2 linked regions of the Arabidopsis thaliana genome follow. The protein of the gene in region 1 interacts with the protein of each later gene in a pairwise test. Each region holds a gene or a part of one and is shown on either strand. Other genes may lie near its edges. The genes, in order: MGP1 and TOC64-V.

Evidence for each region.
Region 2: the proteins of MGP1 (region 1) and TOC64-V interact in a two-hybrid assay, tested with the Arabidopsis thaliana proteins (one study listed by BioGRID).

Annotation. Positions count from the first base shown.
Region 1 is NC_003071.7:9,319,645-9,324,989, reverse strand, and holds MGP1 (MALE GAMETOPHYTE DEFECTIVE 1), read left to right. Parts: upstream 1-2,122; 5' UTR 2,123-2,371; coding exon 2,372-2,410; intron 2,411-2,787; coding exon 2,788-2,881; intron 2,882-3,269; coding exon 3,270-3,414; intron 3,415-3,605; coding exon 3,606-3,716; intron 3,717-3,975; coding exon 3,976-4,122; intron 4,123-4,251; coding exon 4,252-4,374; coding exon of another isoform or gene 4,375-4,378; intron 4,379-4,470; coding exon 4,471-4,534; 3' UTR 4,535-4,800; downstream 4,801-5,345. Other genes in the region: RAB7A (RAB GTPase homolog 7A), read left to right, coding at 16-91; AT2G21860 (violaxanthin de-epoxidase-like protein), read left to right, coding at 5,000-5,293. UniProt on the Arabidopsis thaliana protein: Mitochondrial membrane ATP synthase (F(1)F(0) ATP synthase or Complex V) produces ATP from ADP in the presence of a proton gradient across the membrane which is generated by electron transport complexes of the respiratory chain.
Region 2 is NC_003076.8:2,925,988-2,932,625, reverse strand, and holds TOC64-V (translocon at the outer membrane of chloroplasts 64-V), read right to left. Parts: upstream 4,454-6,638; 5' UTR 4,311-4,453; coding exon 4,069-4,310; intron 3,865-4,068; coding exon 3,712-3,864; intron 3,623-3,711; coding exon 3,498-3,622; intron 3,408-3,497; coding exon 3,282-3,407; intron 3,174-3,281; coding exon 2,991-3,173; intron 2,908-2,990; coding exon 2,763-2,907; intron 2,580-2,762; coding exon 2,411-2,579; intron 2,240-2,410; coding exon 2,102-2,239; intron 1,994-2,101; coding exon 1,793-1,993; intron 1,683-1,792; coding exon 1,555-1,682; intron 1,476-1,554; coding exon 1,424-1,475; intron 1,170-1,423; coding exon 1,100-1,169; intron 956-1,099; coding exon 876-955; 3' UTR 605-875; downstream 1-604. Other genes in the region: AT5G09430 (alpha/beta-Hydrolases superfamily protein), read right to left, coding at 1-464; EICBP.B (ethylene induced calmodulin binding protein), read right to left, coding at 5,335-5,457, 5,530-5,874, 5,974-6,556. UniProt on the Arabidopsis thaliana protein: Chaperone receptor mediating Hsp90-dependent protein targeting to mitochondria.

The sequences.
Region 1 (5,345 bases):
TATTTGAATTTGCAGATATCCTAGAGGCCAGTATCATGACTCTGTTACGGATATTATTGATCCAGATCAGTCAAGAGGTTGTGCTTGCTGATTCCATGTTTGACATATCTGATCAAATAATATCGAGTCCCAGCTCTTTCATTTGCAGTCCTTGTTTTTGGTAACTTTTTTTCTATTTATTGGTTTAATAATATCATTTATAGAGGTTTATTAACGACAAAAAACAGTTGATACATACTACTTTCTGAGTGTTTTGATTCATGTAAAGCATTAATTAATTTCTATTTAATTTTTGTAAACCTTTTCGTTGAGATAACTTATAGTACCATCACCGAATCACTTGGATTTGTTCTACCTATATATGTCTATTAGTAGTACTCCATTTGATTATTCTTTTTGAAAGCGTAACGTTTAGGTGTGGCATTAAAAAACAAACACATTTTGGTGTAGAGTCTTTCCGCCTCTGCGCAACTACTTCTCCTTAATGCTCCCTTTTATAGGCTCAACCAATTTTGTATTTCTCCTTAGTGCTCTTTTTTATTGACTCTAACCAATAATATTTGTATTGGATGTCATAAAAGAGACTCTTGTTATCTCTTGTGAACATTGTTTTTAAACCAAAAAACAACAACCAACTTTGCTCTTTCGCTTTTAGTTGCAACTCATTTTCAAACGTAAATTTTGTTAAGCGTTATGTGAATTTCCGACTCAAAAATCAATTGACATTCACTGAACATTCTCAGTATGGGATTTCTATCAAGTCTTTTGAAGATGTGGTTTCTCTGATCCATTTAGAGTAAAATCTTACTTTTTTTTTTTTGCAACATGTATATCTTATTTTTATCCACCGATAATCAATTATGTACAAGTTGATTGCATAATTTTTGGTGTAGCAAAAGTAGGTTTAAACGTTGGAAACCGAACTTAACTCATGGTATTGTCTTGATGGGCTTGATTCCTCCTATCAAGTTCTTTATACATGGACAAATTCTTAATGAACTAGCTAGCATGGTCAGTTTTGTACCAAGTCCGGAAGCAATTCCCAATTAGACATATGATGAGCTTGGAAAGATGAGTGAATGTGATTCTTCTAGAGAGAGTACTTGGAGATCATCAGGAGGCATATGTAGTGGGACAAATGTTTATAGAAAAATATTCAATCGGGAAAGTAATACATGATTTGTTAAACTGTAAAAATGGCGAAAGTACATGGACTGCAATGGTGGAACGAAATGGCTAGTAATGTATATTGCATGATCATGGGAATAAGGAGAAGATAAGTGATGGAATTGGGGGGGGGGGGGGGGGGGTTAAAGGTCGACGACCAAAATATGCGCAAGCATGAGTTTGAGGGTTGCTATGTCTGAGTTGTGAGTTATGATGACTGAGATATGTCAAACTATGAGTTTGATAATAAGACTATATGTAATGAGAGTGTTGAATAAATTATTCAACTGTTGAACACATACGATGAGAGTGTTGAAAAAGTAAAAAATCATATGTGGATTAAACACTATTGAATAGATTCAACATATTGAAAACCAAAAAATGGGAGAAAAGATGTATGCTCTCAAAGGATAAACGTTAAAAGAACCACCTTTTCAGTCGCAGAAGGAGAGGCTCTAGTCTTAAAGGAAGCAACCCTCCAACTAAAATGGTTGCAATTTGATCATCAAAACCGGTCCGTGACTAAAGTCCATGAAACAAAAGCTTTAGGTAACAGTAATAATAAGAGCTTTAGATAAATGGTCTAATGGTCTGTCCGAACCTTTTCAGTTTTCAATGATCAGTCACAGTTTTGATTCTAATTATTGTTGAATCTATTACTTATAATTTTTTTTGACTATTTATGTTAATATACCAAATTATTTTTGCTTTAGGTATCCATATAGTTTTGACCGACCTCGATGATCATGTTATATTCTGTGGAGATTTATCAACTATTTATAAATACCTTGAAACCGCTACTAGACATTGGAGTAATCCCTCACCTTGTCTCATTTGGCAAATATTTCCTATAGGTTCAACTTATTAGTAGAAATGACAATGTCTTGGCTGACACTTATCAAGAACTCTCCTTGTAATCACTTAGTTACTTCCATTATGGAAAAGTTGACCGATCGAAAAAAGGTATTAAAAAAAAAAAATAGAAAAATTAAGATTTTCATAGTGTAATTGTAAAAAATAAAATCAAATTATTTTCAGATATTCCGTATTGGGAATAAATCTCAGCCGTTGATTACTATCAACGGTGTACAATTACTGCCTTTGCCTGTTACTTGTTCTGCTCCGTCGCTCAGATAGGATCTCAACAAGACACCACAAACCCTAAATTTCGTCAACTCCACAGCGACTCGATTCGATCAAGGAAATGGCGTACGCTTCTCGTTTTCTCTCCAGATCTAAGCAGGTATATACTCTCTCTCCCTCGATTTTTCTGATTCTCTTCTTCGTTCTGTTTGATTCCTTTTGTTTTCCTCCCATTTCTGGGTTTTATGTGTTTCGATGCGATGGTTAGAGTGAGATTATCGATTTTACTGTATCTCTATCACTGAATCACATCTTAGGGTGTGCCATTTCAATATCGTAGTCGAATTTTTGTTATCTTTCGTACGATCTCAATCGGAGAGTTTGTTGAAATCAAATGATAAATTTGATGGGGTTTTTTTCTACTCGTTGTTGATTTCTAATACAGTTCGAAATGATAAGATGATTTGCAAGAAGTATTCTTTTCATCAAAACTTGTTATTGATCCATAATTTTTATTATCTTACTCTCATTACGCAGCTACAGGGGGGTCTGGTCATTTTGCAGCAGCAACATGCTATTCCAGTCCGAGCTTTTGCTAAGGAAGCTGCTCGTCCAACCTTTAAAGGAGATGGTTAGTGACCAAAACTCATACTTCGGATTTGTTATTATGCATAGAACATTACGTTTTCAATAACACACCTAGTTGAAAACAGTTGCTTTCCTTTCTTTAGCCCTTCGTGCTTTTGAGTTTAACATCGTGACTACTTAAGAATATGTCAAGTCACTTTTTTTATGTCGAATGTGTAGAAAAACTATATTGGTCAATGTAATATAATCTTGTGAAACCCAGGCCATGATTGCTAGGACTGTTGTTCTGCTTACTTCTTTTGTTGAGTTTTATATGTATCCAGTTTATGATGGATTATGTTTAATATGTTGCTGAAATCTGTACTATGTGTTTAGAGTGAAGAAGCATTGCTGTTTACTATTATTGACTCAAGTTTTACACTTTTTGACAGAGATGTTGAAGGGTGTCTTTTTTGATATCAAGAACAAATTCCAGGCTGCTGTTGATATTCTCCGTAAGGAAAAGATCACCCTTGATCCAGAGGACCCAGCTGCCGTAAAACAGTATGCAAATGTAATGAAGACCATCAGGCAAAAGTAGGCCTCTTGTTACTCTTTTGTAGGTGTTTGTTATTTAGCTTGAATGTTGTATGTCGTGATCTCTATTTCTGTTTGTTGGGATTGGTTTTACTTTTCGACTTTTCTGAAACGAGTTAAATATATGTGTCAATGCTGCTATTTTAACCTTGTTAATTTGGTTGCTTGTCATCCGTTTTTTTGGTATGCAGGGCAGACATGTTCTCAGAATCTCAGCGCATTAAACATGACATTGATACTGAGACTCAAGACATTCCAGATGCTCGTGCATACTTGTTGAAGTTGCAGGAAATTCGCACCAGGTAGCTGTTAGACTTTGAATAATTTTCAGTTATCTTAGGATAGTTTTCCCTCACCCGTAAACTTGCTCTTCTTATGTTATTATAATATTGGAATTATCTTCCTGTAAGATCTTGAATGTGATCGTTAAGCAGTTATCTGAAGACTGCATTTAACTATCTATATTTTCATCTCCCTCTTTGATCTGCTATTGTTTGCAACATATGAAGAATTGTTGGAAGCAGTCTTTAGTTATACTCCCACTTGTGATATATCTTGCAGGAGGGGGCTTACTGATGAGCTTGGTGCTGAGGCCATGATGTTCGAGGCTTTGGAGAAAGTCGAGAAGGACATAAAGAAGCCTCTCCTGAGAAGTGACAAGAAAGGAATGGATCTTTTGGTTGCAGAGTTTGAGAAAGGCAACAAAAAGTGCGTCATCATTCTTCAACCATCCATACAAAACACGAACAAATGATTCTCATTACTACTTATATGTATATCGATTTACATATTGATAGCTAATTGAATTGCATGTTTGCGTCTCATTAATCTAAACAGGCTTGGGATTAGGAAAGAAGATCTTCCTAAGTACGAAGAAAATTTGGAGCTCAGCATGGCCAAAGCACAGTTGGATGAGCTGAAGAGTGATGCTGTTGAAGCTATGGAATCTCAGAAAAAGAAGTGAGTTTTGTTTTCTTTTCACTTTTTTTGTTTCTCAATTTATCAATCATTGATCTTACTCATGTCATAACGCGATGGAACTTGCGGATTATTCAGGGAGGAATTCCAGGATGAGGAAATGCCGGACGTGAAGTCTCTAGACATCCGTAACTTCATCTAAGGTTTGATCCTTAGAAACATTTGATTTGTTGTAAGAAAAGGCAAAGATCTCTCACTTGATTGTCTTTGAAAGAGAAGATCGTTCCCTTGCTGCTGTTTTGGTTTGGCGTTCAATAAGGTCTCTCACCTGGATTTGAGTCTAACTCTCTCTGTGGTTATTACGCTTGAGATTCTTAGACACAAACGTTGTTTCATGTTTTTTTGATAATGGTGATCACTGGAATTTGAGATAATTAATAAAAGTTGTGATGTTAATTCGAAACAAAAGCGTGGCAAGCAAAATCAACCCGAGAAACTATTATAGTTTTGTATTTAGTAGACCAAATTCGAACCAAATCTAACCGAAATGGGATCTGGAGTATCATACATTCTAGATGAATTAAACCAATCATATCGAACACGTGGCTTGTCTGTGAACAATTATAATGGGTTTGTCTGAGAGACGTTAACAACTGTTTTCTTCGCCATGGCGGCGATTCCTCTCAAAGCTCCTTCTCTTCCTGGAACGAGAGAGTGTTCTCCCTTCCTTAACCGGTTCGTCACTCATCAACCGGTTAATTTCATCCGGAAGTTTCATCCTTCCTTAGATGAAGCATCGTTCTCCAGACGGGGACGAACCACTGTTGTTCGCGTTTTGGAGACGGAGAAGAGTACGAAAATAGAGAAGCCTGAGCCTCCGGTGAAATTGATTGCTCTCGTCGGAAAAGGAGAAGTAAGCCCACTCAAATCCACCTCTTGGGAAGAAGTTATGCTCCACACTGTAAGTAATTGTCTTCTCTCTCGCTTAACAATTGTTGCAAATTCCTAAACAT
Region 2 (6,638 bases), on another chromosome or scaffold:
AGCTTCTCAACGTTCTCCGGAAACTGCGCCGCTAAACTATACCCAACGAATCCACCGTAACTAATCCCGACGATGTTCATCCTCTGGACTCCGTGCGCTTCCATTAACCTCATCAGACACCGAGCCTGGAAAGATTCGGTTCGGTTTGGTTCCGATGTGGATGATAACCCGAAGAAGAGGAGATCGGGAACGTAGACGTTGAATCGGCCGGTGAAAGCTCGGAGATGTTCTCCGTATTGCCACATTGCGTTGGCGCCGAATCCGTGGAGGAGGAGGAGATTAGGTTTAGATCGATTCGGGGATTTAGGAATCCAACAATGCATAGCTGTTGATGCGATTGAATTGCCGTGGGAGAGATCTGTCGTTACGGAACGTAGACCGGCGTTTGCGAATGATTGCCGGAATAACCAATCTCGCGACGCCGTGAAGCTGAAGCATCGCAGCAGTTTCATATGATCAAACATTTTTGATTCGAATAATTCAAAAATGAAACAGAGGAGAAGATACGGAGGCGTGACGATGACGAAGAGGAAAAAAACAAACAACGAATTCAGTTATTTGTCGAGAAATTGATTGTAAACGTGTCATTTATGGGTCCCTCCGTGTAATTTAAGGAATTACAGTATTGGACTTGGGGGAAATTGTAATTTACGTAAAAGACCGTTAAGAAAACAAAGAAGCTAAAAGGACCCCATAAAACTTTTCAGATCAAGTAATTAGAGGTAGAAGTTTTCATCCCAATCTGTACACATGTCACAAAACCACTAAATTATTAGTCTGTTGAAACCGGAGCAAAACCTTTCCTTTTTAGGGTTTTAGATAAGTGAAAAGATAGATTGGTGAACAAGAGAAATCGAGTAATAATCCTTTTTAACTCATATGTGTTTTCGGAGTCTCTTCTCAGCAACCTTTGCCGTCTTGTTCTGTGGTTCAAGGACCAATGCGTGCCTGAAATCTGCAGAGATGATCAACCATAATGTTACGCTCCAATACCCTACTAGAGAGAGTAACTCATCTGGATAGCTAGATGAATTTTATCTTTTAACAAGTTTCTCCAATGTGATAAAATTACAATCTCAGAGTAGTTTAATCATCATACCTGCAGCAGCTTCCTTGTACCGTACAAGTGATTCTCTAGCAGTCCCTCGTCTCAAATATGCCTTCACATTCTGTAGAAACAAATAACTATTATAAGAATCAAAGCTTCCAAATAATGCGTCATTGTGTCTATAGTGAGTGATCTGAGTGATAATGAAACTAGATAGTCATAGTACAAAGGTATTACGCCGCAAATCAAATAAATAAAAAGTGAATAGTTTTGTTCCAGCTCAAGTGTACTTAAACACAAAACCATGTTAAAAACACAATGTAACAAAACAAACTACGAGGGATGGAGAAATAAGGCAGCTAATCAAGTTTTCACCTTCTTATCGATCAACATGGCCTTGGTACAATCTTGTTCGGCTTGTTGGAAGCTATAAACAAACTCTCAGATCAGAAAATCATAATAAATTATATTCAGATCAGAATGAAAGATATGAAGAGAACAATTACCAGCAAAGTTCCAAGAAAGCTGCAGCTCTATTGCAATAATAAGTAGCATTTGCTCCATTCAATTTTATAGCTTCTGTATAAAAGTTTACCGCCTTATTCCATTGTTTCCCCTTGTATGCAGCATTGCCCTGGAATTACATTTTATCCACTGTTAACTTTGAGAACATTCCAACTCCAGTAGCATATCATGGATCAGAACCAAATATACTATTTGTCAAACTCAAAGAGATAGTTTTACCTTTTCTTTCATAACTTCAGAAGCCTCCATGTTACCATTGGTGTCAGACACTGGAGCTAAGTTGGATGCAAGTTTGGCTTGGTCTTGAAGGGATGCATATACATCGAGAGTTGTATCGAGAAGGAACTTATCACCTCCATAGTAAGTAAGAAGCGACACGGATATTGGACGATCACCATGTTCCCCTAAAGGAATTGTAACCTGAAGAATATGTATATATTTGTGTCATGACTAAAGACTGAAGAGTAAGGAAAAGGCAACAAGAATGTTCCCCAACCATTGAATGAGAAAGAGGAGATGGAAATATACCTGACAACATCCAGACATGCTTGCAATGCAGGAGAGTGCATAAGTACGATCAAGAAACTCATTCAAAGATTTATTTCTCTTTGTGTTAAGCCTTGGAGGGGGATCAGCAACTGTGGGGATTACCAGAATTCCATCTTCCTAGTAATAAGATACCGATCTATGGTTAATCATAATACCATAGAACTAAAAAGAAGCCGCAAAAATGAAAGTTAATAATTCAATCTCTTCAGACTTCAGTGTTTTGGTGGCAAAATGTCCTCAAGACACTAATGGCTGTGAAAATTTTAAATTTCCAAAAATCGAGTTTACCTTTAAAAGGCTTTGAATGGTGGCCCGCATCTCATTTTTCACTCTGTAGAGGGATTTAATGCTCTCGTTTTTGCTCTTCAGAGCTGTAACAACATCATTGGAAAATCTTGGCCCTAGAAACGATTTGCATGTTTGCCACCATTCTTCATGATTTGTTTTGAACTCATGCCTGGTAAAAAGAAAATCCTTTCTTCTTCGATATTTGCATATAATACAACTTAAGAAGAAAATAGTAACCTCCAGCAAAGAGGGAATAACAACAATCTTTTATTGCACCCGTTTAAAAGGAACGAGAGAGAGAAAAAAGTATTGATGCAGTGAAAATTTCAAGAAGTGTGAGCTTCTTAAATACCTTTGTATAGCCAACATCACAGATGAAAGAGCCCTTAAAGTTGATGCTGAATTTTGGGATTTCCCAGATTGCTCACAGAATTCCGCAAGACTTGGTACATTTGAAGCGACATATTGGCCAACGTTAACATGTTTTGGAGTCTTGTCTGCATGAGCCAGTGGTCAAGAGACATAAGATATGAATCTGGAGAAGGGCAAAGAGAAGGAAACAATACAGCTGCAAACTTACAGCCAGATAGATTCTCGATTGCCTTTCTGACAACTTGCACCGACTTTTGCTTAGGAATGTCAGAGAGCTCGAATAAATCATCAGCAAAGATTAAAGATCTTTGCCTTCTATGTGTTACTGCACTCAGATTTAGTAAGGCATGTCCAACTTGACACAAAACGGATGGATCAGAGGCAAACCATCCTACAGAACGAATCAATGAGTTCAATAATCAGGAAGGCAAACACCTAGAGTAGCATGTACCATTGAAACTACACTAAAAACACTAAAAGGGAGGGGAATGTAACGTACCAACAGTCTCTAGGCTCTGAGAATTGGGCAAAACTCCAACTGAAGAAACAGTCCCCTGAGATGGTCGAAAACCAAGAATACCACAAAAGGCTGCTGGGACTCTAACACCACCAGTGGTATCAATCCCTGCAAATCAAGCATCTTTTGATTAGCATAAAGAACCAAACGTAATCCAAGAAACACATTACCAAGAGAAAACGAAGAGATTAACAATACCAAGTGAAAAGTCAACGAGTTCAGCCCCAACAGAAACTGCTGAGCCACTGGAACATCCTCCAGGAACATTATCTGGCATCAATGGATTAATAGGAGTTCCATAGTGCTTGTTTTCTCCAATAATCCTGTAAAATCACATTCAAAACACAAACTTTCTTCAAACCAACTACCGAAAGGTCATTTCATATGCAGAATGGTAGGAGTGGAGAGATACCCAAAACCCAGCTCATCCATTATAGTCTTGCCAACACAAGTAGCTCCATTTTTCAAGAGCGTCGTGACAACCACAGCAGTTTTCTCAGCAGCCTCATGAGTCTTCTTCCATTGTGGACAACCAAATCCTGTGATATAATCCTTAACATCGAACCTGTCAAACCATTAACCCCGATATAACTTTATTCATTTCATTGCAACATGACTTCGTCTAAGCAAGTCAAAATCTCAATTAAACCAAACAAAAGTTTTGAACTTTATAAGCGAGATCATTATATAAAGCAGGAAAAAACAAATTTGAAAATAGGTTATGATTTTTAAGAGAGAGAGAGAGAGAGAGAGAGAGAGAGATACATACGCGTCGGAGATGGAGAAGGTAAGACCAGAGAGAGATTGTTTAGCAGCAGGAGGAGGAGGCGGAGGGAAAGGAAGAAGCTCGAAACGATCTAAGAAAGCACCAAAGTCTTCTTCTCTAAGGGCTCTAATCCGCCGCTTCCGGGTCTCCGCCAGAATCACGATCCCGGCCACCGTCACGCCGATCACTACCCAAACTTTGGGATTCGAGGCATTGCTTTGAATCAAAGAAAGCGTATTCGACATAACGCGATCTCACGAGAAAGAGAGAGAGAGAGAGAGAGAGACAAGGGTTTTAGGAGGGTTTAAGAGAGAAAAGGGGAAAGAAAAATAGGAGAGAGATTTGGAAGAAGCAAACACAGATGCTATCGTGCGCACTGTGTCTAAACCCTTTTAATTACGAGTGATGACTTGGCCAGCCGTGAACTCAAGTCCGTCTGCCCAAGGCGAATCTTCTCTTTTTGATTGATTAATAATTGTCTTTACGAAATCGATAAAGAAATTAAAAAAAAAAATTAAATTAAGAAAAATGGAAATTTTAATTTTAATTCCTTTATTTATTAGAATTACTCGTTTCAATTTTTTTTAATAAGCTTGTACAAATTGATTTAGGTTTATAATTTCTTTTGTTGGCCATTTCTTCTCTTAATGAACTTTTCCACTCGTGGAAAAATAGATTTTAAGCTAGTCAAGCCACTAAAAACCTCAATATAATAATGAAAAAATTAAAATATATACTGCTATAATTTATTGTTAAGTTTCCATTTTCTGTAGCCTTGCCCGTCAATCCAATTTTATCTTCAGATTATAGGAAAATCCAAGTTAAGTTTTTTTTATAGCTTTAATGGTTTACCAATCCAAATTTGGTAGATAAAATGGCATGTCGACCCGGATTTATAACCTTTAAAAGTTAGCTCAATATCATACTACCATTCAAATTTAAACTATAACAATATGACTGATGTATGAGTTTGACCAAAACAAATATGATGTATAAATTGCAGAAAACAGCTAATAAAGAGAAGAATATTCAATACGGATACAAATATGAATCAGAGTAATCCAACACTTGGCTATATAATATTAGCAGAGAAAAGCCAAATGAACAAATAAAAAAGTTATATATTGTTAAGACGAAAGAAAATAGTGAATAATTCTATTTCAATCCAAGTAATAAATTAAGCGGTAAATATCAACTATGGTATTTACAGAGAAGAAATAAAGTTAGAAAGTAAAAGAAGGAAAAATGAATACGAGTCAGAAAGTAAAATCAAGGAGAAATAGACATCATCAATGTGTCATCGTTCAAAAGAGACTCAATGTCAATAAAATCGTCTTCTTCACAGTTGACTGCTTCTTCTTCTTTATTGTTTATAGATGCACTTGATGAAGCCTGCAACAACAATTTATCACAAGAATGCTCAACAAAATATGATTAACTGATTATGTTATGGGTCTTGGGTACCTCATTTTCACGGAAGCCCTCAACAACCGTTAGGAGTCTACGGTATTGATCCCGTGCTTCTGGGTATTGAACCATCGACTTAACACGAGTCAGAGCCTTCTGTAGCCTTTCCTCTGTTTGTTTTCTTCCCTCTTTAAGATAATCATACTCATCTTCCTGTGGGATCCTAGGACATATAGCTGATACAGGCGGTTCCGGTTCCACGGTTTTGGCGACTGCATTGCGTTTAAACCCTCTCAAACCATTACCTTTGCGTCTCCAACGCAAAATGATTTTCTCGAGTAATCCCACAGACCAGATGACTGTTCGGTATTGTTTCCGGACCTGATGTCCTCTCACATGAGCCTAAAGGTAAATGTAATATGATTCCAGCAATGAGAAACCAGACAAAAGACTTATGCAAAGAAATAAGGGGGAGAAAAAAAAACTCAATGAAAGGCAAACCTGAATTTTAACGATTCTTTGTCGGATTAAAAGAAACTCTTTTCTCTTCTTCCAACCACGATATTTCTTCTGGATATGGGTAGCAGCACAACTAAGAGAGACATCACCCTGTCCTGGATTCTTAGTTTTAGAAGCTGCAAAAGAAACAGCTAACTGGTCGGAGATATCAATCTTTTCATCATCGCCAATATCACACAGCTGTTTCCGTTGGAATGATTGCATCCTGAATACTTGATGGAGACGATCAGCCGCTTGCGTAGCATTACGGACAGCAGTAAGTGAATCCTTCAAGGAAAGTTTCTCTGGTACATCGCCATAGGTCATAGGAGCAGCGGTTCGCTCAGAGACTGTTTGAACAGCTTTTTCTCCACAAGAGTTGGCAGGGCTATTTTCCTTTGAGTCCACTGTTAGCTTTTCAAGATAACTAGTTAAGGAAGACTCTGCAAGAAATCCCGAAATTCCCCTGTGTCCATTTGCGTAAGCCAAATCAGCTGCTGTTTTACCCAATGGAAGCTCTGGAGATGGATCCGTTAATGCCCCAGCATCAGCACCTAGAGAGACAAGCACAGCGACAGTTTCCTCCCTATAGTTAACAGGAAAAGGAGTTAGTTTGATATGGCAATGTTGACCAAATAATAGAGTTAAAGCATCATCAATGTGAGCAT